Diceros bicornis minor: one gene and its partners. The protein of the gene in region 3 binds, or shares a complex with, the protein of the main gene of each other region. Links are inferred from orthologs where the notes say so. Each region holds a gene or a part of one and is shown on either strand. Other genes may lie near its edges.

Region 1 (7,056 bases), on a different chromosome or scaffold from region 3:
AGAATGTCTCTTTTAAAGAGACAATAAAAGTGCACATTTTTGTATTTTTCCTGCTCCCCTCTCGCACACTGCCCAAGACATCCCTCAAACAGCTGAAATATGGAATGCCCAGCCACTCGTCACAGATGCCAACAGCGCCCTGGGTTAGGAAGCTGCTCAGCCCTGCTGGAGACCGGCTGGGCAAGCACCAGTCACCTCGTCATAGTTGGTGTCGTTCAGATCCTCGTCGTCATCGTCTGCTGCCTGGCTTTTCTTCATCTGGTCCCCAACAGTCCTCTTGCCAGGGGGGGCATGGCGGTCATCCACAGGATCATTTGCATCCCGGGCCGGCCCAATGTCTGACCGGGTGGTGAAGCCAGTGGCACTGGAGAAGATCCCAAGATGCCCATTTATCTGGGTGACCTTGTTCCTGTGTTCCGCCCTGCACCATCGTCACTTGACAATATCTCTTTTCCTAACACCTCTGGGAAACCTCAAAGATCTTGGTGCAGTGAGCTACGCATGGCCACGCTCTCCAACATCACTAGCCCGTTCTCCTCTTCCGGGGAGAAACTTTCTGACCCACCCTGAGGAGGTTACCAAAGCTATCTTTTGCCACCCCACATTCTCCTTGAGAGAGATTTGCCAGGGCATCAGGCCTCCCTCCTCCTCAAACCCCAGCCTCCCATTTCCAAAAACCTGCTGATCATCTCCCACTCCACACCCAACTTGACCCAATCACACTTTCTCTTCTGTGCCTACCCCACAGCTGCTCTGGGCTGTCTCAGCTGATGATGGCAGTGCCATCCCAGGCACCAAGGCAGGCACCATGGCACCAGCTTTGCCTCCCTCTCCCTCCTTCTTCATCCTGGGTGTCACCAAGTTCTACTGAACCTACCTCCGAAAGCCCTCCTCCGCAGACCATGACTCCCATCACAGCTGGGAACCAAGCTAGCCACCCCTGCCTCTAGCCTTCCTCTGCTTCAGTGCAGCTCCAACCGCAGCATTCGGAAGCGTCTCTGTCTCTCTGCTGCCCCCAAGAGCCCTGGTCCCTCTGACTTGCTGCAGCTCCCCTCCCTTCACTGCACATTTCACTCCGAGACTCCTTGCTACTCCTCCGCCACGCCTCGTCTTTTTTCTTAACTGCTCAACACACAAAACGTCCGTTTCTCCTTTAATTCTGCCACATCTCTACGTGCCTAACTCCAGCTCTCCTTCTAAACTTGGCCAAATGTTACCACTCCATAGAGCATTCCCTGATGACTGGAACCCCAAAATTCTAAATCTGTTCCCCTTCGTGTACTTATTTATGCAAATACCTCACAACTAGTAAACTGCAGGCACTCTGAAAACAGCGTCAGTTTCTGAGACTTACGTGTATCCCACAGATTCTAACATAAAACCCCCAACAAGAGAAACCAATAGTTTTCCTAACCAAATAAATAGCCAAACAAATAGTGACAATGACTACCCCACTTAGGCAACAACTTAGGATAGTCGTCTGTGAGACAGGCATTAAGGGACCCAGTCACAAGCCTCACAGATGCCATCCCTGCCCCTAGGGAGCTCAGCGTTTGAACAAGCAGCATATGACGACCAACACGACAGGGAAAGAAGGAGGCACTACCAGCAGCCACACAGAGGAATCTACCCCAGATTATCGGAAGAGAATGTCATGCTTAAGACAAGGCTGACAGGTCTGCCTGGCCTAGGGAGGTAGCCAAGGTGTTCTGACTACACGTTAGGGATTCATTAGCCCAGCAGAGCAGATCTGCAAGACAGTGTTATTACCCATCTTAGAGACCAAAAAACAGGCCAACGCATAAACTCCAAGTCACACAACTCCTAAGTAGCAGACAAAAGTCATGCTCAGGTCTGTCCTAATTCCAAAACACTATTCCTCCTACAGGGGTTAACCGAAACCGTCTAGTATCTTATCATTGTTTTCGGCTTTCCCATGGCTGTCCGCGAGCTGCCCTAACCCGGCTGCCTCCTGGAGAGAAGTGAGGGCAGTTAGAACAGTCTCTCCGGGGGCCCGGGCCGGCCCCCAGCCCCTTCCCGCTACCCTGGCTCCTGCCGGCTACCCCAGCTCCTGCCCCTACCCCAGCCCCTGCCCCTACCCCAGCCCTTATCCGCTACCCCAGCCGCTGCCCGCTACCCCAGCCCCTAACCTGGCTTCTGTCCACTGCCCCGGCCCCTACCCCGGCTCCTACCCGCTACCCTGGCCCCTACCCCAGCTCCTGCCCGCTACCACGGTGCCTGCCCCAGCCCGTATCGGCTACCCCGGCCCCTGTCTGCTACCCCGGCTCCTGCCCGCTACACCGGCTCCTACCCCATCTCTTACCCCGGCCCCTACCCCAGCTCCTACCCGCTACCCTGGCTCCTACCCCGGCCCTTATCCGCTACCCCAGCTCCTGCCCGCTACCCTAGCCCCTACCCGCTACCCCGCCCCCTACCGCGGCTCCTGCCCCCTACCCCAGCCTATGCCCGCTACCCCAGGCCCTACCCCGGCTCCTGCCCGCTACCCCGGCCCCTACCCCGGCTCCTGCCCGCTACCCCAGCCCCTGCCCTGGCGCCCGCCCCGGCCTCGGGCCCTACCCCGGCTCCTGCCCGCTACCCCCGACCCCTACCCCGCTCCTACCCGCTACCCCAGCCCCTACCCCAGCTCCTACCCGCTACCCCGGCCCCTACCCGCTACACCTGCTCCTGCCCGCTACCCCGGCCCCTACCCCGGCCCCTGCCCGCTACCCCAGCCCCTACGCCGGCCCCCGCCCCGGCCTCGGGCCCAAGCGCGCGCCGCCCGCTCCCGCCCCTCCAGCGCGGCCCGCCGCAGGCCTCACCCCCGGCCCAGCCCCGGCACGTAGCCGAGTGGCGCGGGCATGCCCAGGAACGGCTTCTTCTTCTTGTTCATGGCACCGGGGACGACGAGGGTCGGCAAGGGAAGGGTCGGAGACCGCCCCCGGAGGCGAAAGCCCACAGACGTCGGAGACTTTGCCGCAGCAGGACGTCGCGGGCCCCGCGTCACCCGCGCCCCGGAAGCAGAGAGCGCCGTGCGCACGAAGCCCCACCCCCTCGGATTCCCCGGGCGGAAGTTCCGGAAACGCGTTTTTCGGCGACTTCCGGCGGCTAAGGGCCAGAGATGCGGCAGGCGCATGCGCGGGGGTTTTGCTTGGGGCGACGGCAGCAGGCGGACGGGGGGATCCAGGAGCGACACCATCCTGGACAAAGCCTGCGGGACCTCAAAACTGAGCCTGGGGTATCCCTGCTTGCTGCGTGTTCTCCACGCATTTCCAAGGAGACCTCCTGTACGAGCAGAACCCGTGGGTCCCTTCCCTCTGAGCCAGCCCAGCTGCCCACCCTGCCCTTCAGAGTTGCCCTGGCCCCGGGCAGGCCCTAACACGTTTGAGCGGAGCTGCACGCCTGTCCAGTTGTGTCGAGCTTGTGCAGGGTGTATCAGTCGTAACTGCGGGCACCCCTGTCTGTGTGTGCCCGTGTGCAGGCTGCTGCCCTCGCTCTCAGTGCTCGGATTCCAGCCCCGATACAGGCCCCACCCACACCACCGCCAGACCCTGTACATTCCAGGGAGGGCAGCAAGCCAGCCCCTAGAGACCTAAATGACAAAAACAAGCAAATGCATATCTGTGGAAACAAGTCAGGCTGTGGGCGAATTCCCCGAAACCCTACCTGTGTGCTGGTGGGCACGGGTACAGGTCAGACCACCTGCGCTGATGTCTCGGGTGGACGTGCATAACTGAGCTCTGCACACATTTCTGCATGTCCGTGTGCACCTTTGCTGGCTCTGCTGTGGGACATCTGCTGGCCCCCACATACCCCTGGGAGGAGCGCTCAGGCTCTTGGCAGAGCAGGCAAAACTCAGCTTGTCGCAAGTCTGGCCTTCTGCTGGACCAGGCAGCCCCCAGCCCACTCTAGCACTTCTCACTGGGGTCCTGGAGGAAACACGTTCCTCCAGCCAGCCACAGCCTCCTTGGAGTTTCTCTCTCCTCCCCGTCCCCAGCCAAGCCCATTTTAGTGCCACGTCCTGGGCACTGAGTCAGATTTTGGGGCTACATAGGAAAGGGGAGAGACCCTGGTTGTCCAACTAGAGTTTACAGTGTGGTGGTAGGGTAAGAGAAGGTCAAACTGGCTTCTCTGGGGAAGCAAGTGCCCATTTGAGGGAGAGACCTCTGGAGAGCTCTGGAGGATGCTGAATAAAGTAGTGAGTGAGTAAATTGAAATAGGAATGGGGAGGGAGGTGACTGGGAGAGATCAGTCTGGCCCTTGACCCCGTCCCCCATGGGCAGAAGGTCCCAGGAGCAGGTAGGATGCCTCCCTCACCCTGCCACACACAAAGGGGATGAATACATCTTTACTTCCCTGCCTCAGAGGCTCCTGCAGGCGCCTGGAGCGCCTGTAGGTGCATAGGGTCACTCGTCCTTGGAGCCATGCCCAGGTGCGCACGGACGCCCTTTGCTCTAGCACCCTTTGCCTACGCAGACCCGCGCGCCGCCGACACACCTCGCAGCTACCGGAGCGCGCCCGGCACTCAGGGCTCAGCGGCAGGTGCCTCGCCGCGCAGACTCGCCGGGCGCGGGGACCGGCTCGGGCGCGGGGCCGGCTGGGGCGGGGCGGCGGCGCGCGTTCCCCGCCGGCCACACCGGCCCCCCCTGCGCCCGGCGAGGGGCGTGTGCAGGGGCCTGGGACCGCGGGCCCCATGTTCACGGAGCTGAGGACCAAGCTGAGCCCCCCGCGAGGCCGCACCGGGGCTGTGCGTGCCGGCTTCGGGGAGCGCCGGGATGTGGACGGTGAGCGGGCCTGGACCGGGGTGGGGGATATCGCGGGCTGGGGGCTCGGGGACCGAGAGGGACAGGGGCGAGACGTGGCGGACTCCCAGCGGCTGCGGCGCGCAGAGTGGGGGCCGCGCTCTGGGTGAACGGGGTCTCTGGTGTCTTTGTCCTGCGCTGGTGAGCGGCCTCAGGCCTTGGGGATCAGCGCTTCTTGGCTTGGGGGAGGTGGCCGGCTGTGGCTCCTGTCCCCAGGCTGGCACCACCCTGCGGTCACCTTTTCCTTCGCGCTGAAAAAACCCTCCCCAGCCCTTGCATTGGGGCCGAGAGGGGGGCCGAGGCCACAGTTGGCCTTGGGCGCCCCCACCCCATTTCCTACTGGAATTCTGACGTTGGAGCTGGGAGGGAGGGACCGACCGGGGGACGGACGCACAGATGGACAGAGATCCCTCCCCGAGTGCGGGTAGGAAATGGGCGGGGCCCGGCTGGCTGGGGACAGGTGCCGCAAGGGCCGAGGCGTCTGACTGGTTCTCCCCAAGCAGTGCGCTCCTGCCCTAGCCAGGCCTCCCAAGAGGAGAAGCCTTGCAACCCAGGCGCTTGTATACCCTTAAAGGTGCCCGCCTAGAGTAAGTCTTCTTTCACCGTACTAGAAACCATCTCAGGGCAATGGCCACACTGGCCACACCCTCTGTCTGGCCCTAGACCTCAGATTTAGTCACCTGGGTCACCCGAATCCTGAAAGTTGCAAGAATGGGGAGGGGGTGCTAAGTCGGGGGAATCTTACCTGGTGGAAGGAGGAAGAGTAAGATGTGGGTTTGCCTCATTACAGAGACCTCCTGGGCACATTGCCAAACCCTGCTCTCAGTGGGGATGATGGGGGGCTGTGTCCAGGGGAGGCAGAGTCTCTCACTCTGCTGGGGCCTGAGAACCTGATCCTGCCTGCTGAGTCAGGGCCTGGGTACTGTAAAGACGGGGGCAAGCCTGGGCCCAGCTTCCCGTCTTTCCCCAGGGTTCTGTTGACTTGACACCACTAGAGCCTTCATCCATCCATTCACAATGTTTCTGGGCACCTTCTGTTCATCAAGACCTGTGCATGGTCTTCAGAGAGGCCCATCCAGGTGTCTGCACTCCCTGACTCGTGTCAGCAACGAGCCCAGAAATGATGGTAAAACTAAAACCTGAGGGGTGTGATGAAGTTGGTATAGAAAGAGAGAGCACGAGGCGTCACCATGGGGCCCTGGGCACATGGGTGCACCCTGCACACCTGTGCTAAGCAGCCCATGCCTGCAGGAGCCCCCACACACACAGGAGCTGTCCTAGGCCAGGGGTCCCTGTGGGAGGTGGGAGAGCAGGAATCCCGGTTATCGGCTTGCCCAGAGTTCAGGCTTCTTGTCAATGAGTCACAGCTGGTGAGCACAGACAGCTAGGGGCCAAGCCTCAAACACCAGGTACGGCTGCAAAGACTGAGTGCCTTCAACAATGACGGGTAGATGGTGCACCCAGAGGGGTCTCCCCACCACCCAGGGCCTCCCAGGACACTGGGGCTGGCGTTTCCTCAAAGCAGGTCCTGTGTGTATACCCTGGTCTGGTGTGGCATGTGCCAGCCCAAGGCAAGCGTGAAGTCAAGGCTGTCCCAGGATGGCCCCTCACTTGGCTGCAAGTCTTAGGCTCCCTGGAGGCACGTCCTCTCTCTAATCTAAGCAGCACCCATCCTGCTTCCTAAAGCACAAACTGTGGATTCGGAGGGGGAAAGGTGTTTCCAGTTCTTCATCTTTATTCCAGTTTCCCACCCCATCTCCATCTGGGTGGAGTCCTCAAGACAGCTCTTACATGCTTCCTTCTGCCTTTGGGGGCTTGAGAACCCCTAACTGGGAAAGTGGAAGGGAGACAGGCTAAGCAAAGAGCTAGATCACAGGGAGAGGAGCTTCTGGCCTTGCCCTTGACCACTCTGACCAGGCACCCCTGCTCCACAGCCACTGCCCACTTCAGCTTCTGCCGGACCCTCCTGGAGCACACAGTGTCAGCCGAGACCATCCCCTGCCATCTGCCTAGGACACCAAGCACCAGCCTCACTTGGCATGACTCCCGCAGCCAGAGGGCAGTGGGTGGCCGGCCCGTCAAGCTCCTGCAGCAGCCTGGCACGGAGGGCCCCCAGGTACCCACCCACTAGACCCACCTCTGCTCCTGCCCTCCCTACCACCTCACTCCACCTGCCACCCCTTTCCCCTTGCAGGGCCGGCTGTACTCTGACCACTATGGCCTGTACCACACGAGTCCCTCACTGGGCGGCCTGACG
Region 2 (7,328 bases), on a different chromosome or scaffold from region 3:
GTTTACTATCCTCACTCTTGTTACTATTACTTACTACTGATTCCTACCCATTAAACCAATCTGTATTCAATTCAATTCTGAAAGCGGAAATAATGGTCGATTATAATCAATATAATTTAGCCATCATTTACATTTTATATTATATATAAATTACAGAGCAATTAATTTAATCAAAAGCATTAAATGTTCTTATTATCAGTTCCTTGATGTGACCTGAGCCCTAAGATTCCTGGCTGTTTTTAAGTATCTTTAACCTTAAAGTTTTGTCTCCACTAATTTCCTACCAATTTAGTAATAATTACATTGAGGTAATAACCTTCCGATCCAATCACTAGCGTCAGTGGATAAAATTTCTATTTTAAGGTAATTTCAACAGGCAATGTTTTCGCATATATCATTTTACTGACTCAACAGTACTAAAACTGCCTTAAATTAAAAACTGAGAGATCCTCCCTCCCCATTCTTTAATTTTTAACATTACTCACAACTCAGTGACATCTTCCAGTACCATATCTGAAATTCTGTGTTAAGAAAATAAATATACCAGGTTGAATTTACTCTGGCTTCTACCTCTGTTCAGTTTTACTTATAACGTCTAACACAATGACTCAAATTCAAAATGCTTGTGATTGGTAGGTAGGTAGGTAATCTTCTTCCAGCACAAACAACTTTTAAAACACTATCACAACGTCCCTGAGAATTAATTTTTTTGTGGGTGTGGGTGAGGAAGATGAGCCCTGAGCTAATATCCATTGCCAATTGCCCTCTTTTTGCTGAGGAAGACTGGCCCTGGGCTAACATCCGTGCCCATCTTCCTCTACTTTATATGTGACACCGCCAAAGCATCGCTTGACAAGCGGTGCGTCAGGCAGCACCTGGGATCCGAACCCTGGAACCCGGGCTGCCAAAGCAGAGCGCATGACCTTAACCACTATGCCACCGGCAGGCCCCAAATTAATTTTTATTATAATAATCAGTAAATACTGTCTATAGTTCTTTTGTTCTTAAATACTGAAGAAAAACCCATACCACCACCACCTTTTAAAAGGATACTGACAAAGTCATCAAATCCTAGAAGCGTGCCAACAATTTCCTTATCACTCTTCATCACAATGTGAATTCTTGATCCTATACACTTGTCCACAAGTTCTATGGATATATTTTTTTAAAGAAAAAAAAGGGAGGGAGAGGAAAAAGATTATTTTACCAATGCATTACTTCCACAAATATCTGAGTGCCTACCAGAACTTATTACTTGTATATGGTGAAATACAAACCAGGAAAAGAATTCATTCAAAAACTTTAGATCTTATACTATATACCTCTACATTAACAAAAAAGCTCTCCCTGTTCTCCACTTCCCTTTTGTAGCAATTTATCATGGCTGTGGTTTTATATTATTTTAGATTATTTGATTAACATATGAACCCCTCTAGACTCTTAGCCCCATGAGGGCAGATCATTCTACCCTCAATGGACAGTGCCTGGCATATGCTGGGGATTCAAAGTTTGTCGAATGAAGGAAAAAACTTTTCAATCACGGCCACATCCACTAACTAAATCACTCTTCAGCTACAAAATCGTAGGAAGAGACAGGCATAACTGTCTTCACCAGAGATTCCTTCTTGTCACTACCTCCCTCACCCTAAGAAGTCTATCCTCTGTACTCTGATAGCAGCTCGAACATCTCTTTACCGGGCTTAGCGTTATTTGGTATGATGTTTATTTGTTCAGCATCCTAGCTCCTCCATTGGTTTGTGTGCTATTCGCAGGCAATGGCCGTGATTTAAATTTGTTGAATAGCGGGGCCTACCCAGTGGCCTAATGGTTAAGTTTGCGTGCTCCCTTCTGGCTGCAGGAGGCGAGCGGGGGGGGGGGGGGGGGGGGGGGGGGGGGAGACGCGGCTGTGTTCGCGGGTTTGGATCCCTGGCACAGAGGATGCAGCGCTTGTCAAGTCACGCTGTGGCGGAGTCCCACATAAAATAGAGGAAGATGCAGAGGGATGTCAGCCCAGGGCCAATCCTCCTTAGCAAAAAAAGAGAAGGATTGGCATCCGATGTTAGCTCAGGGCTAATCTTCCTCTCTCTCTCTCTCTCACACACACACACACACAAATTTTGTGGACTTGTGCCGGGCCACATTGTCTGGTGCATAGATGCTCAATAACTGTTTGCTGAATGAATGAATGACAAATAGAGCTAGTTCCAGATTCTTTTTTTTTTTTTTTTTTTGGTGAGGAAGACTGGCCCTGAGCTAAGATCCCTTGCCAATCCTCCTCCTTTTGCTGAGGAAGATTGACTCTGAGCTAACATCTGTGCTCATCTTCCTCTATTTTGTATGTGGCACGCAGCCACAGCATGGCTTGATGAGCAGTGCGTGGGTCCACGCCTGGGATTCCAACCCGGAGACGCTCAGGCCGCCAAAGCGCCGCGTGTGAACTTAACCACTAAGCCACCGCCACCGGGCTTGCCCCCAGATTCCTCTTTTAAGGCTCATTCCAGACCCCGGTGCTTCTCGCAGTAACTGGCCAGCTACAGGACAGGGTGCAATCTGGGGAGCTTACATGCCAGGTTGAGGAACGGGACTGAATCCCATGACTATAGAGGTGAGCTCACAACGGAGGCGGCTGGCGACGCATTCACCAAGTGTGAACCTTTTCCAGTGGCGGTTTGGTTTGGGGAGTCACAAGTCCCTGCCTCAAGGAATCCTACCACGCTGAGGAGACGTGGGCGGCCTGAGGGCGCAAAGACTTAAAACCAGAGACGAGCCGCGGAGAAGGAAAGCAGTTGGTCCGATACATTTTCCTAACGCTCTCACACGGGCAGCCTCCCCCGCAGCCCCTGGGCCCCCAACCCTAAGCTTCAGCTCCCCGCCCGCGCGCCCCACAGGGCAACTATTACCTAGAGGCAGCAGCTGCGACGGGTTAGTGGTAGCGTTAGCAGCCATGGCTACGCCGGAAGTGGCCTGCGTCCATCGACGTTGGGTCGGCGAGTTTGAAAAAGCACGCTTCCTCTTTTTCCTCCCCCACGCAGCCCGGGCAGGCTCGACCAATCTGCGGCCGAGCGTGCGATCGGTCCAGTCCGCGTGGATCGCGCCCAGTTGCTTCTTTCCGGGGCAGTGAGATCGCGAAATATTTCTTATCCACTGAGTATTCTGCTGTGTCTGCGGCTACTCACTCACTCTCCCTTAGAAATTTTCGGGAGACCGTTAAAGATGTTCTGCCTTGTGAATAAATTCTTCCTCTAACCCGGAAGACTTTGCAAAATACGGAAACTTTTGAGTCGTCTTATTTTCCTCTATAAAGTTGCGTCTTAACCCAAGCCAGGATCTTTCTTCAGACGCGTATGAATCAATTTGTTTTTCCTGCCACCAACTCACTGTGTTGCAATTTTCGTAAAAACCGTTCAATCTTCAAGAATCTACCTTTTCTTTTAAAAGTCCAGTGGATTGAAAACGCATAACCGGCATTTTTTAAAACTTTTCTAGGGTAGAGATTTAAAATATGTTTTCTCTTTATTTTTTACTACTTTAATTCATCGTTCTTGTCTTGTTATATCTAGGAGTCTTAGTTTCTTACAGACTTCGTATTCCGTATTTCTTCAACAAACATTGTCTAACAGGCAACCACCAGATGTCACTGTATGTTAATGTCATCACACTTAAGAAACCTTAATACTTTTGCACTTTTGTTTTGAAAAGAATAGAAAGCAAACAAATTCTCTGCCTTAGTCTATTTTCTATTTGTATCCTAGGAACTTAAAGCTAAAGACTGTGAACAGCGAAGGCCAGAAAGAACATCATTCATACAACAAATGTTTTTAAAGCACCCATCATTCATTCAGCAAACAACTATATATTAGTTGCACACTATTTGTCTGGCATTTTGCTCAGTATAAAACAGTGTACAGAACAAAACTACAAGGTCTTCTGCCCTTTAAGGAGCTTAAGGATGAGTGGGAGAGAAAGACAACAAACATTATGTACAAGGTACATGAAATTTAATATATAAAGCAAAAAGACCTTTTTTAGCTTCAAGAATACTAGACACGTAGGTATGATTTAAGGGAAACATCAGTGAGGAGGTTCAGAAGCTCTTACAGAAGGGCCTTTCAGTTCAAAGCACCCTAGAGCTCAGCCTCCTTCTAAATACCAAGCCAATCCTGGCTTTTTTGCATATTTAAATATTGAGCGCCTATTATATGCCAAGAAACTGACAGATACATTTATTCCTAATCTTTATGACTATCCTTTGAGACAGATGTTAGGATGAAGTTCCTCATACTCAGAGGTTAAATAATTTGCCCACTGGCCACATAGATAGCTTGGGAAGCTTTACAAAGGAATTGACAGGAATCTAGTCTTGGAGGATGAATAAAATTGGATAGGCAGAAAAGGGGCAGGAGCAGCATTCCAAGTAAAGGGAATACTGTGTGCAATTGGCATGTGCCCACCTCCGAACATCTCTTGCACTTCAATTTAAATCTTACATACTTTCGGTAAGTTTGGCGTAAAACCCTTCCCTTCCCAAATGTTTTCCCTTAATAACCCCAGTCCTTAATGATTTTACTTTATTACACTTAGGATGCTCTGGCCCCCAGTTCTAATAAATCCTGCTCATCCTTCAAGACCCTGCTCAAATGTGACCATCTTTGTGAAGCTTCTCTGACTTGCAGACCTGGTGGGCTCTCTCATTATCCAGCAAGGATGTTAACAGCTCTCAGAATGCTCTCAATGTATTCTCTTATAATTATGTATCTACAGGGTTACCTCTTCCCCAAAAAGACTGTGAATTCCTGAAAGTCAAGAATTTTGGGAAGCAATATAGTGATTAAATCCATTGGTTCTGAAGTTAAATCACTTTGGTTCAAATCTCATCTCCACCACAATGCCTTCTAGTTATTTGACCTTGGGCAAGTTATTTAACCTTCCTAATTCTCAGTTTACCCATAGGATAATAGTATCTACTGATAGGATTGTTGTGAAGATTAAATGAGATAATCCATGAAAAGTGGTTAGCAGAGGACTAGCACATAGTGCTTATTCATTAAACGTGAGCTGTTATTGCTTATTTATCCATGTTTCCTAATACTCAACATGATGGTTGGCTTAGAGTAGGTGCTACAAAGGCTAGCATTGCTAGCTGGTGGTTTCATGTTTATCTTATTTTTATAACCAGACATAAGCCACTTTAAGACAGCAATTTCTTTCTTTCTTTCTCTTTCTTTCTTTCTCTCTCTCTCTTTTTTTCTTTCTTCCTTCCTTTCTCTTTCCCTTCCTTCCTTTCTCTTTCCCTTCCTTCCTTTCTCTTTCTCTTTCTTTCTTTCCCTTTCCCTTTCTTTCTTTCCCTTTCCCTTTCTTTCTTTCCCTTTCCCTTTCTTTCTTTCCCTTTCCCTTTCTTTTTCTTTCTTTCTTTCCCTCTGCCTTTCTTTCTCTTTCCCTTTCTTTCCTTCCCTTTCTCTTTCCCTTTCTTTCTTTCTCTTTCCCTTTCTTTCTTTCCCTTTCCCTTTCTTTCTTTCTCTTTCCCTTTCTTTCTTTGCTTTTCTTTCTTTCCTTTCTTTCTTACTTTCTTTTCTTTCTCTCTCTCTCCCCCCGCTTTCTCTCCCCCCCTTCTCTCTCTCTCTCCCCCCTCTTTCTTTCTTCTCTCTGCCTACCACAGTTCCAGGTGTACTGTAGGGTCTAATGAATGTTCTTTAAATTGATTCTATTTCATTCATACCCATCAACATCCCCCTTAATCTTCATAAGATTCTAAAGACAAAGTAATGCCAAATTTTTTTGTAAAGTCCTTTTCTTTTCCTCGTTTTTCTTTTCTATCTCTATTCTTATTTTATTTTCACCATACCATAATGAGGGTAGGGACCAAATTCAAGGCATTGTTGCTACTTGATAAGAGTTTAAAATTCAGAAAAACATGCTTTTAAGAAAGTCAGTACTTTAAATTTTCCATTACAAGAAAAAAATGAACATTAGCAATTTTCAATACTATTGATGAAGAATAAAGTAAGTCTCTTTATACTCTGAAAAAGGAGATAATAGTTCATTTACCCAGTAAAGTTAATGGGGATTGCAGGAAGGGAGTGGTTTTATTTTACCATGTTCTTTCCTGAGGCAAGACGAAAAAAGAAACAATGGGCCGATTCTAGATGGAAAGTTCATTTTTAATGAACTTGAAAACATGTCATAGCTCTGTCTCCAGGGTTTTTCTCCCTTTAGCTCTTATAGAGCAGACATAAAATAGGATTTACAAGTCATCATAAAATACATGTAACTAGAAAAGACTCTTCAGTGTATTATATGTTCAGAAAAGTGTTTCTAATTTTTTCCCTGGAGACAAATGTCATCATAAAAATACAAACAAAAGTTTCCTTTCAAAATAACATTCAGAAAGTATTCTGTTATGTCAAATTGTTATTTCCAATCTTGATAATCTCCTTCTGACACTTTTTAAAATAAAGGAGAAATATCTATTTTTTTCTCAATAGATATTTGTCTTTATAGACAATATCTTGTTAATGAATTTATTCTATAATAATACAACTTATTAAAAACTACTGTAACAGTTGTTATTCTAAACTCTTAAATGGACCAGTCTGTATATTTAGAGATGGAAAAAATTCTGGAAATTCCCTTGCTTACTTTCTTGCCCAATTTTCCCAGTAACATATCCTCTTTGTTTATAGCATTTATTTTAAGTAATTTTTTTAAACATTTAAGCAACATAATAGTTATGAATAAATGATTTAATCTTTGTTGGAAGCTCTAGGATGCAAAGTGACACAGATTTTTATAAATCTATTACTGGGTCTCCTGCACAATGAATTAAGCAGTTGGTGTTCACTGTAGATATAGAATTCTAAGATGCTCTGCCCTTACATATTTTTTAAAAGATGTTCAGTTAGACTTTAATTTTAGCTATGCCAATTGTGGAAAATATCAAGGCAGATGGAAGAAAACAGTAACATATTACGCATACAGGGAATAATATAGTTTCACACACAGTTCTGAGCCAATGCCAAGAATTTTGTAATATAAAAAAGAAATTGTAACAACATCTTGAAAAATTTCTACAGTATTTTTATTGGCACTAAAACAATTCTACTGAATCATAGAAACCAACCTTGATTACAGGAAGCCTATTGTTTTTCTCAGCTCTACTTAGATTAGAATGCAGGTCCTTAAATTTCAAGGCCAGGATAATAACTGCTAAGGTTGTCTAAACTAAGGGATGTGCAACTAGCGATGGTAAACTTCACAGCCAAGTATTGTAGTAATCTCGAATTCTGTTTAAAGCGGGCACCTATCCTTTAGTTTATCCCCAAACTGCCCTG
Region 3 (7,748 bases):
GCAACTGTGTGCATCTCTCACTCCACCTAACGCTGCCTCACAGCCAGCGTAAGGATGCAGTGCCAACTGTTCAAACTTACAGAAGAACCTGAGTCCCAGATCCCCATTACGACAGCAAGGAGGGGCCTCACGCCTATCAGCAAGCACACACATACACACACACGACCACTAACTGGGCTGAACCTGGACTCTAACCCCACTGTCTTCAGATGCCCCCCACCCCCATCCTCAGCCCCACACTCACCCTTCTTGACGGCATTGACCTCCAAGGGTTTCAGCCCCAACTTGGCCCGGAGCTTACTGAAGACAAGAGTACAACTGTTAGAAGCTGTCAAACAAATGGGGGCACCAAATGCATTTCTGGACAGACAGAGGGTGAAAACAGGATGGGAGTGGGTGGTCCTAAGGGTCCCAAACACAGCGCCTGACCCAGGCAGCCCAGGGCATTGGGAAGGGCACTGGCCTCCAAATCAGGGCACACCGGCGCTAAGCCCGGCTGCCCCTAACCAGTGGAATGCCATCCTTCCTCTTGGGGCTTAGTGTCCTCTTCTGTAACTCAAATGGTTGGCTAAGATGATTTCTACAGCCCTTCCCATTCCAATCAGAACGCTTTAGTGTGTGAGAGCCTCCCCAAGCAACTGCCCCAGGAGCCACCTGTCTCAGAAAAAAAAAACGAGAAACAAAAAGGAGACAGCACTTACTTGGTCTCCTCGATGCTGAGTGACGAAGCATCTCCCGAGCTGGTTTTGGAGCTGGCAGCTGGAACAACAAGGAGCACGGCTCAGGAGCTGAACACAGGGCAAAGAAGCCACTTCCTCCGCTCCAGCTGCAGGGCTGAAGATGAGGGCCCCTCACCAGCACGCGGGCCTTGCTGAGACACCAGGAAACAGCAGCCTTCTTTCACCCCAGTAACTCCCACTACTTGAGTCCCAGTGTCTGAGAACTCTGCCTCTTCTACGTACCTTCCTTTCCCAACCCTAAAGGTCCAACTTTCTGCATCCCTCACTCCGCCACCTCTCCACTTTTGTATATTCTGTGTTTTCAACCTGCACTGCCCTCCCTGGCCTCACTCTGATTGACAAATTCCTATCCAAACGCAAAGATCAAATGCCACCTCCTTCGTAAGGTCCTGCTGAATTATTGATCAGAATGAACTGCTCTTCCCTGAACTCCACAGCGCCGTCAGTTGCTCCTGGGTCTGTTTCTCCCCACAGGGCAGGGACCACGCTGACAGCATGACTGAATCCTCCGTGCAATTCACACAGTCAAGAAACACACTTACTGGTGCCTGCTCTGTGCGGGACGTTGGGGACAGAGAGACAAAAAAAGCATTTCGGACCTCCTCCACCCAGCTCATAAACAGCAAACAACTTCACTGAGCACCACAGACAGAAGCTAGACACCCTCAGATGAAGCTACCCCAACCAGCTGCCACCATGTGCTCACCCTTTCTGCATCCCTGCAACCTACCTCCTCCCCTTTTATCCCACCCGGACCCTGGATCCATCCCAACCCCTCCGGGCTCTCTCCAAGGTCACCAGACTCTTTATTTCTAAATCCAATGGATTCTTTGCAGCTCTGGTTTTGCTTGATCTCTTGTGGTGTGTGACACTGTTGATCACTCACTTCTAACAATGCTCTGTTCCCACAGATCCCATGACACCGGGTTCTATGCTTTTCCTGCCTTTTTGGCTACTCCACCTCCCTTCTTGTAGTATCTTGCTCCACCTACTACTAAAATATTGGTGTTTTGTAGACTCCACTCCTGACCCTGGCTTCTCACTCGTCAATCTTTTAGTGAACTTTATTTGACACCTAACTACTCATGACACCCAAACTGCTCTATCCAGGCCAAACCCTGGGTTTCTTCACACACATCAAACACAACACTCTCCAAAACTGAATTCATTATCTTCCCTGCAAAGTCTGCTTCTCTTTCAAACTCCTCAACATCTGTAGATGACACCAGCACCCACCTAGCTGCTCAAGCCAAAATTCAAGGAGCCATCCTCCATTTCTTCTTCTCCTTGCCACCCTCACCCAAGCGTGTTAATTCCTCCTCCAAAACACCTCTTCAATTTGTCCACATCTCTCCATCCCATTGCTGCTGCCTTGGTGCAGGCCACCATCAGCCCTCACCTGACCTCCAGTCTTGTCTACCCTCGATCTAGGTCTCAATGCAGTGATCTTTGCAAAATATGATGGACTCGTTCCTCGACTCAAATCCATGGCTCCCTACTACTCTCAGGACAAAGTTCGAATTTCGGAACAGGGCCTACGGCACCCTTCGTGTTCCGATCCCTGCCTATCTTACAGCCTCCCGTCTCTATCGTGAGCCCTACAGGATTCGCCCAATACCAGGTTTTCTCTTGCCTCTGCACAGGCTACTACCACTTCATCCGTTCATTCATTCACTCTGCACATTTACTGAAGGCCCTTGATGTACCAATTGCGAAAAACAGAAAATCTCTGTGCTCACAGAGCGTAACAAACGAAGACAACCTTTAATCTCAAATAACCGTAACAAGACTAAGCGCTGAGAAAAACAGCCTGGGGGGTGCCTCGGCCTGAAGGCTGGGCGAGCCCACCCGGGACCTCCGCCCCGCCCCCGCGCAGGCCCCGCCCCTCACCGGCTTCGTAGCCGTCATCGCGCTTCTCCCGCTTCACGCGCCGCTCGGAGGGCTCGGCCTGGCTGCGCTCCCGCCCGTGAGTGCCACTGCGGGCCTCGGCTTCGGCCCCGCGCCGCCCGCCCCCGCGCTCGCCCCCACGCTCCCGGCTCCGCTTCCGTCGTTCGCCGCCGCCGCCGCTGCTGCCGCCGCCGCCGCCGCCGCCCCGGTGCTTGTGTTTTTTGTGCTCTCGGTGCCGCGGCGGCTGCTCGGTGGCGCCCCCGGTGCTGGCCGCCGCCGTCGTCCCAGCCCCCTCCTTCTCCCCGCGATGCTTCTTTGACGACCCCATGGTGGTATGTCCGTCCCGAGCCCGGCCACCGCCGAGCCCAGACGACGCAAAATGGGAACACTTCCGGGTCGCCCGGCAGCCGCTGTCGTGTTGCCGGAAACCAAGAGCGGCTGCTTCCGTTGTTCCCCTCGGAGCCTGCCCCAAAGGCTCATGGGAGGGCCAGGATCGGCGCCCGACTGCGCATTCGCGGCCGCCTCGGGCGGGCGGGCGGTCATGGAGCCTGTGGTCCCCTGGCGCGTGCGCTCTTCTATGTTCGCGGACCCGGTCTGGAGAAGACCGGATCCCAGAACTTGAAGGACCTACAGGCTGTCTCAGTCAGCGTCCCCGGAGCTGGAAGCCCCTCCCCGGCTTCCCTCCGCTTGCACACCCCCAGCCACGGGACGCTCACTGCCTCACAGACTTTCCGTGGACAGCGCCCGCCGCTCCAGTAGGCGTCCTCCTAGTGGACTACTCCCTGGGGTCGTGGCTCCATCCAGCGTTGGACGACGCAGCATGTTCTCCTCCTGAGACCCACAGCCCGGCCTCCGAGCCCCTACAACCAGTATTGGCAGCAGACCCTGCCTGCCCACGTTCCCTGGATTGGGTTTTTAACCTGCGCCCCGTGAACTGCTAAGGAGCTCCAGATGAGCTTCTGTGTGTTGGTGAACCCCCTGAAATTGAGTGCAAAATTTGGCGCATCTGTGTGTGTGTGTGTGTGTGTATTTCTTGAGAAGAGGGGCTCTAACTTGAAGTTATTTAACATTAAAAACCCAGCTCACACGGTTCCTCCTGACACCCACACCCCACAGTTGCTAGATCTGGCGGTCCCTGTGCAGTCCATCTGTTACGGTGTGATGCCTGTGCCCCTTTAAAGGTCCGCCCCCTCCCCCACCGGACTGGGAGTCGCCAAAGGCAGAGGCCATTCTGTCTTACTCGCTCTTGAATTTCTAGAACCCAACATGTATGCTGGCGACTGGGGGTGGAGGAGTCGCAGCTGTTGCTCTTTGAGACGCCCCCCTCCTCAGGAGCAGAGGCGGGGCTGTGTGTGCTGGGAGGGGGCAGCCAGAACAGCGGGAGCTCCTGGGGGATGCGAGAACAAGCTAAGCCGGCTGCCTACCCACCTACCGCCTGCTACTCCCAACCCGCAGCCTCTTCCCACCACCACTGGAAGTCTCACGCTGTATTTTCCATAAAGCGTTTAATTTTTCTCAGGGACTGGACTTCTGGTCTGGGCTTGGGTGGAGTGCCTGTCAGGCTGGCTGCCGGTGGGTTCTGTCCTTGGGGGGCTCTGAGAAGAGTGCTCCATTCTCACCCCTGTTGACCTGTGTCTCCTTAAAGATGAAGACACAGATAGAGGTCACTGCGCTCTGCAGTTCGCCACCCTCATGCCCAAGGAGACCTGGGCTATAGGAGGGGAAAGGCCATTGTCACTGATGATGTGGGTTCAAATCTGGCTCCTATGCTATGTGACCCTGAGCCAGTGACTTCCTCTCCTTGAGCCTTAGTTTCCTTATTGTGAATTGGGCCTCATAATCCCTGCTCTGCACTAGGTTCTTCTAAAGCATAAGGGACAGTATACCTGGGGTGACTGGAGTGGCACTAGCCCATCATGGGGCCTTGGTGTGTGGCCACTCAGATGGCCACAGGTTCCCAGACTGGCTCTGCTGCTTATTTGCTCCTGTGACCTTGGGCAAGACCCTGCCCTTCAGGTGCTTAGTTTCCTCACTGGGAAGTGGGGAAAATAACCCTGGCCCTGTCTTCCTCAGGCGACATGGAGGACAGGGCCTGGGGAAGACCCTGCTGACTGCTAGAACTAGTCCTCCAGACCTGGGAGTAGATGGGGCAGGACTGAAGCTTAGATTAAGGGTGGATCAATGTGGCTTCCCACGGAGTCCCTCTGCCTTTCCCCAGGGCAGGGAGACAGAGTTCAGAGGGCTGGTGATGGCGCCTCTTCTCCCCGCAGCTGGGCAGAGCCGGTTCCTTGGTCAGCTAGACGGTCTCACCTGGGTTTCCTGGAGGTCCCCTCCTTGTCCCCCTTTCCCGCCTCCACCAGCAGCTGCTCCTCATCCAGTCCCAGTGCCGACAGCACCTGGGAGAAGCGCCGGGCCACAGTGAGCCGGGCGTTGGCCTGAGGAGAGAGAGGAGGGGTTCCTGCTCTGCACCAGGGCTGCCGAGGACACAGTGGGGCTCTGGGTACTGAGGGCGTCCCAGGGCTTCCAGATGGGCAGCAGCCAGGGGTCCCATCTAAGGGGGCCCACTCCCACCTTGCTTCCTACCCACTCAGCCTGGGAGAAGCCCTGTGCCAGCCCTCACCTGCATGGCCTGCTGGAACAGGTAGGGCCGGGCCTGCACCCTGTGCTGGATGCCCTGCAACTCTGCCTGGTACTCAGCAAAGCGCTGTCGCTCCTGGCGCCTGCAGGGAGACAGGCCTCTGGGCAGCTAACCGTGGACACAGCCATCCCCACTCCTGAGCCCACTCGTCCTCACTAAGGACTTTATGTTTATGTTCTCTGGCCGTTGCCTTTGCAAAGCCATTTCATTCCCATCCTCACCCTGGATTCCTTCTGAGGTCAGTGGGGCAGGAGTTATTTGACCCATTTTACCCTTGATGCACCTGAGGCTCAGGAGGGTTGAGGAACCTGTCCAAGGTTGCACAGCTGGGAAGTGAGAGACTGAGTCCTGAGCCCAAGTCTGCAGGCTGTGCAGCCAGGGCTCCCCCAGCCTTGCAGCCACCCCCAAGGGAGAGGGGCCATCACTGGCTTCTGAGCAACTGGGCATCTGCTTGCACAGCCTCTCCTCTCCCCGTGTCCACACCCCTGCACCCTTTCACACTGCACCTGCGAGGAGGATGCTGTGGCCTTGGGCAAGGCCCCACTCTGGGCTCTGGGCTCAGTTTTCTTGTCTGTGCCATAGCAGGGACTGGACAAGCTTGCCAGCATCCTCTGTGGTTCTGATAAGCAGACAGCTTAGCAGTTGGGACAGAAGAACTAAAGAAATGTGTTGCAAATGAAAAGAGCACATCCCAGAAAGATCAGGGTTCCACTGGGGAAGCACAAATCCATTTACAAAAACCCAGTTTGTGCGCTTGTCACAAATGTGTCTGCTCAAAAAGCTGAGCATCCTGGCAGCAAGAGGGGCCCTCTGGCCACACCGTGCTCCGGACCAGGCATCCTTCTGTGAAGCACATAAGAGAAGCCGAGGGGCGTGGTGGCAGCACCCACACACAGGACAGGAGAGCAGCAGGCAAGAATCCGAGACTCGTGCTGGGACCTCCAGCAAGTATGCTGGGCCCCATGGAAAAACACTGCCTTGCTGTGGACCCTTGGTTATGTGCCAGGGAAGGACGCCACCACAGCATGGCTTGATGAGCAGTGTGTAGGTCTGTGTCCAGAATCCGAGCCTGCGAACCCCCGGCTGCCGAAGCGGAGCGCGCAAAGTTAACCACTACGCCACTGGGCCGGCCCCCCACCTTTTTTTTTTTCATGGTCAAACTATAGGAAGAGAAGAACACTGATGACTCTTCACTGACCATCAACAGTGGTCGTCTCCAGGAGTGGGATCACAGGCGCTGTTCCCATTGTACAAGAACAATTTTGGTAATATTTGAACTTTTGTAGTAAGCATGTCTGGCATTTGAAATCGGAAAAACAAGACTTGAAAGTGTAATAATGCAGGTAGAACATTTTAACCTGAGCGTTCCACAGCTGCAGGGCTTGTTATTATTAACTGGGTGACCTTGGCCCGGCCCCTTCTCCTCCCATGGCTTAGTGTCTTCATCTGTAGAGTGTGGCCCGCCTGCCTGGGCGGGAGGGTGGCCGTGGAGTTTCAGCCCTGAGGGAAGGGGAGGGCTGGGTCTCCTTGGTCCTTGTCTGACACCTCACACTGCCTCCCTGCCCTCTCCCCACCGGGCCCTCCGCAGCCCTGGCCTCCTACCTCAGCTCCTCCAGCTTGTGCTGGGCAGCCCCTGGCCCCCGGCTCCCTCTGGGCGCGTAGGCTGCCAGGCAGCGAGCCACCTGCTGCTGAACCTGCTGCTCCCGGGCCCTCCGCAGCTCAGCCTGCCGCCGCTCCTCCCGCTGCTGCCGCTCCCAGGCCTGCAGCAGGCTTCTTGGGGGGTGAGAGGGGAAAAAAGAGGGATGGGAAAAGTCAGCTGGGCACAGGCGTCTCAGAGAGGGTCAGGTCCCGGGTAGGGGAGTATGGGGTCTGAAGGGATTGCAGGAGCCCAGAAAGCCGAGAGCCTGGGGGATGGGCTTTGTCGTGGAAGTCTGACCTGATGGAGGCTGCCTCTGGGGCTCGGCCCTCAGGCCCAGCTCAAGGCCTTCCTGCCCACTCCAGCCAGCCCTGTGCCCCAACTCTGAATGACCTGAGCTCTGTGGAGCTCAGTGCACACATCTGTGACCTCGCCTGTATTGCTACCTTCCCCTTGCAAAGGGGAGGGTAGGGGCCAGATCTTGTTCTTCTCCCTGGCCCCCATATCTGGTAGGAGCTAGGTGAATACCTTTTGGTTTGAGGGACAGACCAATGGGTGAATGGATGGGAAAGAGGAACAAAATGCTGATGGGATCAATGGATGGATGAAGGGATGAATGAATGGTGCAGATGGTTGAACAGACAGCACCTAGCTTGACCTGGAACATTCTTCCCCCAGATCTCATAGCCATTTCCTTCTTGTCAATCAGGTCTTTGCTCAAATGTCAAGGAAAGAGAGACTCCCTGACCACTCCATCTACCTCTCAGGTATTTTCCATCTCTATCTATATATTTTGGTCATTTCTTTATTAATTATCCTTCCTCCCAAGTAGAATGTAAGCCTCATG
Region 4 (7,165 bases), on a different chromosome or scaffold from region 3:
TTTGCATATTTCCTAAGTAAATATAACTTAGGTAACTCAGCACAGTGGTTGAAGGAAGTCAGTCTGATATTCAAAATATGTCACAAATAGTATAAAAAAATAAGAGAAAAAGCAAAAACAGTCATTTAGTCTAGGTCATTATAACACAAGAGAAAATAAAATGTGGCCTGACCTTTTCAGACACTCCCAACAGAGAGAATTTTGGAGAAGTTCAAAGCAGTGCTTGGGATCATCCTGTATGTTAAGTCAAAAGATTCAGAAAGGTACATACCAGCTGCCTTCTTCTTATCCATGCCCTTCCCCACACAGTTCAGTGCTGCTGTGACCACTGTGGGCTCTGAGAAACCCAGCACCCTCTTCACTGTCTTCTCTATCCATGGTTTCAGCTCATCCAGCTCTCTCTTAGACAGTGCCATTCTTTGGAAAAGAAGGATAGCTCAAATGGGATTCAATACTGCACCTAAAAAGAAACCAGGAAAGAGTTAGGATAGGAAAAGACTAAAGTGATTCCAGGCAACAGTTAGTACATCAGGAATGCCTTCCCCACCCCTATTCTCAATCTTTAGGCAAGCTCTTCCACTTCATCTCAAGCCAAACAGTTTCCCTAGAACCCATACTTTAAAGCAGAAAGAACTACATTCCGTTTGATTTTTAACCCTAAGTCAGTAAGTATCAGTGGATCAACGAAATCTGTGGAATACACAAACCCTGGCAATAACTTAGTCTGAGAAATGAGTTCTAGCTTTTTGATCCTGTCATATCAACAAGGACTGGCAAACATATAACATGAAAACAAGACTGAAAAAGCCTACCCAGAGGCTAGCTTTTCTATTCCTCCTGCTTCCAGGCAGGCGTTCCTTAACTCAGCCCTGACCTATAGGTTTCCCTTCCTCTAAGTGATGCAACTAAGTGGGGCTTATCCAGATCAGTCATTCTACATTAAAGCGCATAATCCTTAAAAATGTGCTGTCACATTTCTCTGTAGTCATATTCATCCCAGTGGGAATTCTGTACCCAGATAATTTTTCCTCATATTCTACAGGGGCTCTGTCAGCTGACTTGATAAGAGTAATCCCTCAGCTGAGAAAAGAGTACTCTCATTTTGGATGTACTTTCCCTCTCCCCTTTCACCTCTATTCTACTTTTCAGCTTAGCAGAGAAAACACTAGCATAAAGGACTTTCTACAACAAATCTTTATTATTTAATGCAAGTTAGTATAATTCTTAAACATTATTCATGTTTACATTTTGATCTCCTACCTAAATCTGAGAACTCCTCATGAGCATAGAGAAAATTTTATTTCTCTGATTTTTCTCCATAGTGTCTAAAACAATAAACTGCACTGACCTCAATTTCCAAGCTAACCTCCTCCCAGCAGTGCCATACATCAGGATCTGATCTGGGAGTTAATCTTTCAAGATGTTTGAAGACATCTTTTCTCCTAAAAGACAGTCTGGGCCGGCCCCGTGGCTTAGTGGTTAAGTGCACGCGCTCCGCTACTGGCAGCCCGGGTTCAGATCCCGGGCGCGCACTGACGCACCGCTTGTCCGGCCATGCTGGGGCCGCGACCCACATACAGCAACTAGAAGGATGTGCAACTATGACATACAACTATCTACTGGGGCTTTGGGGGAAAAAAAGGAGGAGGATTGGCAATAGATGTTAGCTTAGAGTCGGTCTTCCTCAGCAAAAAATGAGGATTAGCATGGATGTTAGCTCAGGGCTGATCTTCCTCACACACACAAAAAAAGACACAGTCTGATTAACTTCTACATTCTTAGCAGGTTTATCCTCTATATGACCTGTTGCTAAACAATATATTTAATTTTGGTATAACTATATGAAGCTAGTAGTTTAAAGTCATGAATCTAGGAGTGAAAGATTTTGTGCCTCAGGAACACGTTATATGAATAATTCTATGGTGGCTCTATTTACCCATTGTGAGACAGCAGTATAGCCTATCAATCTCTACATATTAAATGTGCATTGCTCAAAAGAAACATATTCAGACACCATAGAGAGTGAAGAAAGAGCTCACACCGAACAGCTGGGACACGGAGCTCTACCATTTATCAGCCTTTGGACAAGTAATTCCTCTGAGCCTCAGTTTATTCATCTTACAAAATGAGGACAATTGCCATACCTACACCATACTTAATTCATCCAGTAAAAATTTATTGCATAGCTACTCAATGTCAAGCACTGTACTGGGTGCTGAGGATACATACAACAAGAATCTCCTTTGCCTTAATGGGGCTTATATTCCACTAGAATTGAATCATAGGTTAGAAAGCACAAGCAATTTGAAAATCCAAAGCAATAAATGAAGTACCACTCTATCAGATGAAATGCGTGCCCAAGCACTATACTAACAAATATATTCAAGTTCAACCCAGTCCTCCATAAGATGATGTGCAAACTAAACAGCCAGTGGGCAAAAATGCAAGTTTCAAACAGTAGCTAGCTTTGTCACTAATCAAATGTTCAATAAATGCCTGGGGCGGGGCTGGGGGCGGTTTATGGCGTGGAAAGAGAGGAAGGTAGAATGATCTCCTCTGAATGAGCAGGCAGCAGAATCCAATCTTCTGAAGGATTTCCTTACTCCGTGCTCTTCTTTGCTACAACCCGAGCACCCCTCCTGAAGGCCCCATTCTTCTCTTTCCGCTCTCTCCGTCTCTCCGACCGGCCCCCTACCGCACCTTGTTCTACCCAAACTCCTCATCTCAGACCTGGTCTCCCCACCCCGTCCCCTTCCCGCCCCCGCCCTTTTCCTCTCAACAATTTCATTCCAACCCGTTCTTCCTCAGAACCTTGTACTTCTCTCAGCTTCCTTCCCGCTGAACCTTAACGCCTTGGCCCTCCCCTTGGACTGAGCCACGGACCCAGTCGCTCGGACCCGAGGATACCCTCTCTGGGCCCGCGGCCACTACTCACCTCACAAACTTCAGCCCCTGAGACGGAGCCCGAACGTTACACCGGAACCGGAAACCCTCCGACCGCCCTACGGCCTGCCGTGGCTGCCGCCACGGCCGCCGCCACGCCGCAGTCCCCCAACATGTGACGGGGGAGGGCCCGGCCGCTGATTCGCGCAGCCGTAGTAGCCACTTTCTCTGCGGAGGAGAGCACGCGTGGCGGAGCCATAAAGTTTCCCCAGCTAAATCTATTATCTAGATTACTGCAAAGTTAACGTTGCCTGAAGCAGAAATTAGGCTGCTTGCAGTATTCCTAGGGAGGAGAATCAGTGCACTAAAGTGATGATAGAACTAAAAGCGGGGCTTCCGCGTTGAGGCTAAACAGGCCTGGCAGAAAGTAAACCCTCCGAGATTCGTGATCCATTAGCATTAGCCACCCTTCAACCTTTCTGCCTTACTTAACAGTAGCACCAGAGACCATCCAAAAAAAAAGATGAGTATAAGGGGACTCCGAAGATAGCAGCCCCCCCATGCCTTTTATTGTTTCATTCATTGACGGAACAAATATTTCTGACTGCCTACTACTATGTGCCACACATCCTCTGAGAATCAATATTGCTTAATGATTAAAAACGAACACGGGCTTTAAAGCCAGACTGCCTAGATTTGTGTTCCAGCTCTCCCACTCGTTAGCTGCGACATTAGGCAAGTTACTTAGGCCCTCTGTTTCCTCACCTGAAAAAAAAAAATCCACCTCATACGGCTGCTGTGAGGACCACAAGAGTGACTGGGGGTAATGCACTTTAAACAGTGCTTTTCACCGAGTTCAATAAAGCTACATGATACATAATAAAATATCCAATTGCCTACATAAATGTAAAACAGACATCTCAAACTCACCTAATGAAAACTAAGCTCCTGATTCTAACCACCACCTCCCCCAACTAAGCTCCTGATTCTAACCACCACCTCCCCCAAAAACCAGCTGCCAACAGTCTTCTTCATCTCAGGTAACTGCAACTCTATTCTTACAGTTATGCAGGCCAATAATCTTAGAGTCATCCTGGACTCCTCCGTTCCATTGGCCATACTTTCAAAATATATACAGAAGCCATCTGCTTCTCACCTCCACTACTATCACCTTTATGCTTGATTATTTTAGTAGTCTCCTAACTGCTTTCTCTTGCTTCCACTTTGTCCCTTTTAGTCTAGTCTCATCACATAAACATAGTAAGTAAATTATCTAGTACTGGCACAGTAGGTACTATAGTGATCGTGTTAACACATCAGAAAGGTCATATTACTCCCCTCCTCAAAACCCTCCCCTGGCTTTCCTTCAGAATAAAATGCCCTACAAGATCTGCCCCACTCTCTTAGCTCTGTAATATCATCTACTACTACTCTTTCCTTGACTCATTCAGCTCCAGAATCCTGACCCCTTGTTGTCCCTTGAACATGCCAAGCATAAGCTCACCTCAAGGCCCTTGCTTTTGTTGCTTTCTGCCTGGATTGTCCTTCATCCAGATATCTGCATGGTTTGCTCCCTCATTTCCTTCAGATTTTTATTCAAATGTAACCTCAGTGAAACCTTTCATGACCACCCTATTTAGTTCTGAAGCCTGTTTAGCCCTCAATTTCCCCAGTGTTTTTTTTTTTTCTTTTTCTATAGAACTTATCACCACCTACCATACTAGTACTAGAGCATTTACTTATGTTTCTTCCTTATCATCTGACTCCCTCTGCTAGAATGTAAACTCCTTAAAGGCAAGAATCATTGTCATTGATATATCTTAAATGTCTACAATAGCACCTGATGTAATTAAATAAATATTTGTTGAATTAAAGAATGAATCTTTTTTCAGCAGTAGATCTTGCAGGCCTCAGAACCTGCTGAAGTCTGGTTTTTACCTAAATGGAAATTCCCTAAGGGCAAGAATTGTGTCATATTGTTTTTATCTCCAGGGCCTAGGATAGCACCAGACACAGTAAAGGCTCAATAAATGATAAATGAGTAACACCTGGGCCAGCCCTGTGGCTTGGCGGTTGGGTGCGCGCGCTCCGCTGCTGGCGGCCCGGGTTCGGATCCCGGGCGTGCACCGATGCACCGCTTCTCCGGCCATGCTGAGGCCGCGTCCCACATACAGCAACTAGAAGGAGGTGCAACTACGACATACAACTATCTACTGGGGCTTTGGGGGGGAAAATAAATAAATAAAATCTTAAAAAAAAAAAAAAATGAGTAACACCTGCCAGTACTGTTTTCTTCATTTTAGCAATAAGCCTGTATTTTTCCCTTTCTTCAAAACGAGGCTCTAAACTTTCCTGACCCTTTAAACCAGTGATTCCTAAAAGCATGCATGTGGGCAAAGCATAGTTCACAAAAAGCATGTCCAATCCATTATGACACAATTTCATATACAGGAAATGAAAAAATATTCCATTATATCAGATAACAAACTATACAAACTAAAATTCCGGGCCGGCCTGGTGGCGTAGTGGTTAAGTTCAGCACGCTGTCTTTGGGCAGCCCAGGTTTGTGGGTTCGGATCCTGGGTGCGGACATACACCACTCATCAAGCCATGCTGTAGTGGTGACCCACATAAAAAATAGAGGAATATGGGCACAGATGTTAGCTCAAGGCCATTCTTCCTTAAGCAAAAAAGAGGAAAATTGGCAACAGGGGTTAGCTCAGGGCCAATCTTCCTCACAAAAAAAAAAAAAAAAGAAACTAAAATTCCAAGGTGTTTTCTTAGATGATAGGCTGACCAGAAAAATGCAGTTATTCTCTAGGGAGCTTATTAGAATTTCCCAGGGAGCAGAAGATTTTTGTATCTAAAGGCTAGTTTTTAAGAAGTTTGAGAAATACATTAAAAAACCCACCTTCCCTTATGGTGCAGCATGACGTAATGGAATAAAGCTTAGCTTTGAGTAACAAATTGAGGAAGCTTGAACATGTTGTTCAAGTTATTCATGCCCCAATTTCCTCATTGTAGCTATAGCACCTAACACCAATGTCTCATATAATATTCAATGAAAAAAGTCTGTTAAATGGGTTAATGAGTTCCAACTCTGTAGAGCTGTAAGTTTGTTTCAGTGCTTTTAACCAGCTGGGTTTAATTCCCGGAGGGAAACGTTTTTCTAGGAAATGATTTTATTTCCAACATTTGGAATGAGATGGGTTTAAATCTTTAGTCTCCCAGTTACTAGCTGTGATTCCTTCAAGTAATTAATTTTTATGAGATTGTTTCCTCAATTATAAAATGAGAATAAGAATTTCTATTTCAAAAGAGTATTGTGAGGATTAAATGTAATGTATAAAACACATTTAGTGTGGTACTGGCATAAGGATAGACATATAGACCAACAGAATAGAACAGACAGCCTAGAAATAAACCTTACATATATGGTCAGTTGATTTTTGACAAGGGTGCCAAGACCATTCAGTGGAGAAAGGACAGTCTGTTCAACAAACGATACAGGGAAAACTGGATATTCACATGCACAGGAATGAAGTTGGATGCTTTCCTCACATCATATACAAAAATTAAAGCAAACTGGGTCAAGGCAAGAGAAAGAAATAAAAGGGATCCAAATTGGAAAGGAAGAAGTGAAACTGTCACTATTTGCAGATGACATGATTTTATATATAGAAAACCCTAAAGAATCCACCAGAAAACTTTTAGAAGTAATAAACGAATATGGTAAAGTTGCAGGATACAAAATCAACATACAAAAATCAGTTGCATTTCTGTACACTAACAACGAAGTAGCAGAAAGAGAAATTAAGAATACCATCCCATTTACAATTGCAAAAAAAAGAATAAAATATCTAGGAATAAACTTAACCAAAGAGGTGAAAGATCTGTACACCGAAAACTATAAAACATTGCTGAAAGAAACTGAAGAAGACACAAAGAAATGGAAAGATATTCCGTGCTCTTGGATTGGAAGAATTAACATAGTTAAGATGTCCATACTTCCTAAAGCCATCTATAGATTCAATGCAATCCCTATCAAAGTTACAACAACATTTTTCACAGAAATAGAACAAAGAATCCTAAAATTTATATGGAACAACAAAAGACCCCGAATAGCTAAAGGAATCCTGAGAAAAAAGAACAAAGCTGGAGGTATCACACTCCCTGATTTCAAAATATACTACAAAGCTATAGTAACCAAAACAGCATGGTACTGGCACAAAAACAGACACACAGATCAATGGAATAGAATCGAAAGCCCAGAAATAAACCC

Evidence for each region. Proteins that work in one complex are often made in the same cells at the same time.
Region 1: SART1 (region 3) and PRPF6 share a complex: the UniProt entries of both Homo sapiens proteins name them as parts of the U4/U6-U5 tri-snRNP complex. The link is inferred for Diceros bicornis minor from reciprocal best matches to the Homo sapiens genes SART1 and PRPF6.
Region 2: SART1 (region 3) and LSM5 share a complex: the UniProt entries of both Homo sapiens proteins name them as parts of the U4/U6-U5 tri-snRNP complex. The link is inferred for Diceros bicornis minor from reciprocal best matches to the Homo sapiens genes SART1 and LSM5.
Region 4: SART1 (region 3) and PRPF3 share a complex: the UniProt entries of both Homo sapiens proteins name them as parts of the U4/U6-U5 tri-snRNP complex. The link is inferred for Diceros bicornis minor from reciprocal best matches to the Homo sapiens genes SART1 and PRPF3.

What each region holds. Positions count from the first base shown.
Region 1 is NC_080758.1:271,950-279,005, forward strand, and holds the start of PRPF6 (pre-mRNA-processing factor 6), read right to left. Parts: upstream 3,009-7,056; 5' UTR 2,891-3,008; coding exon 2,820-2,890; intron 365-2,819; coding exon 196-364; intron 1-195. Other genes in the region: SAMD10 (sterile alpha motif domain-containing protein 10), read left to right, coding at 5,817-5,925, 6,734-6,915, 6,994-7,056. UniProt on the Homo sapiens protein: Involved in pre-mRNA splicing as component of the U4/U6-U5 tri-snRNP complex, one of the building blocks of the spliceosome.
Region 2 is NC_080742.1:56,561,657-56,568,984, forward strand, and holds the start of LSM5 (U6 snRNA-associated Sm-like protein LSm5), read right to left. Parts: upstream 3,009-7,328; 5' UTR 2,947-3,008; coding exon 2,901-2,946; intron 1,150-2,900; coding exon 1,054-1,149; intron 514-1,053; coding exon 486-513; intron 1-485. UniProt on the Homo sapiens protein: Plays a role in pre-mRNA splicing as component of the U4/U6-U5 tri-snRNP complex that is involved in spliceosome assembly, and as component of the precatalytic spliceosome (spliceosome B complex).
Region 3 is NC_080770.1:7,333,576-7,341,323, forward strand, and holds the start of SART1 (U4/U6.U5 tri-snRNP-associated protein 1), read right to left. Parts: upstream 3,020-7,748; 5' UTR 2,956-3,019; coding exon 2,631-2,955; intron 760-2,630; coding exon 702-759; intron 301-701; coding exon 245-300; intron 1-244. UniProt on the Homo sapiens protein: Plays a role in mRNA splicing as a component of the U4/U6-U5 tri-snRNP, one of the building blocks of the spliceosome. May also bind to DNA.
Region 4 is NC_080743.1:54,784,558-54,791,722, reverse strand, and holds the start of PRPF3 (U4/U6 small nuclear ribonucleoprotein Prp3), read right to left. Parts: upstream 3,009-7,165; 5' UTR 2,936-3,008; intron 461-2,935; 5' UTR 417-460; coding exon 272-416; intron 1-271. UniProt on the Homo sapiens protein: Plays a role in pre-mRNA splicing as component of the U4/U6-U5 tri-snRNP complex that is involved in spliceosome assembly, and as component of the precatalytic spliceosome (spliceosome B complex).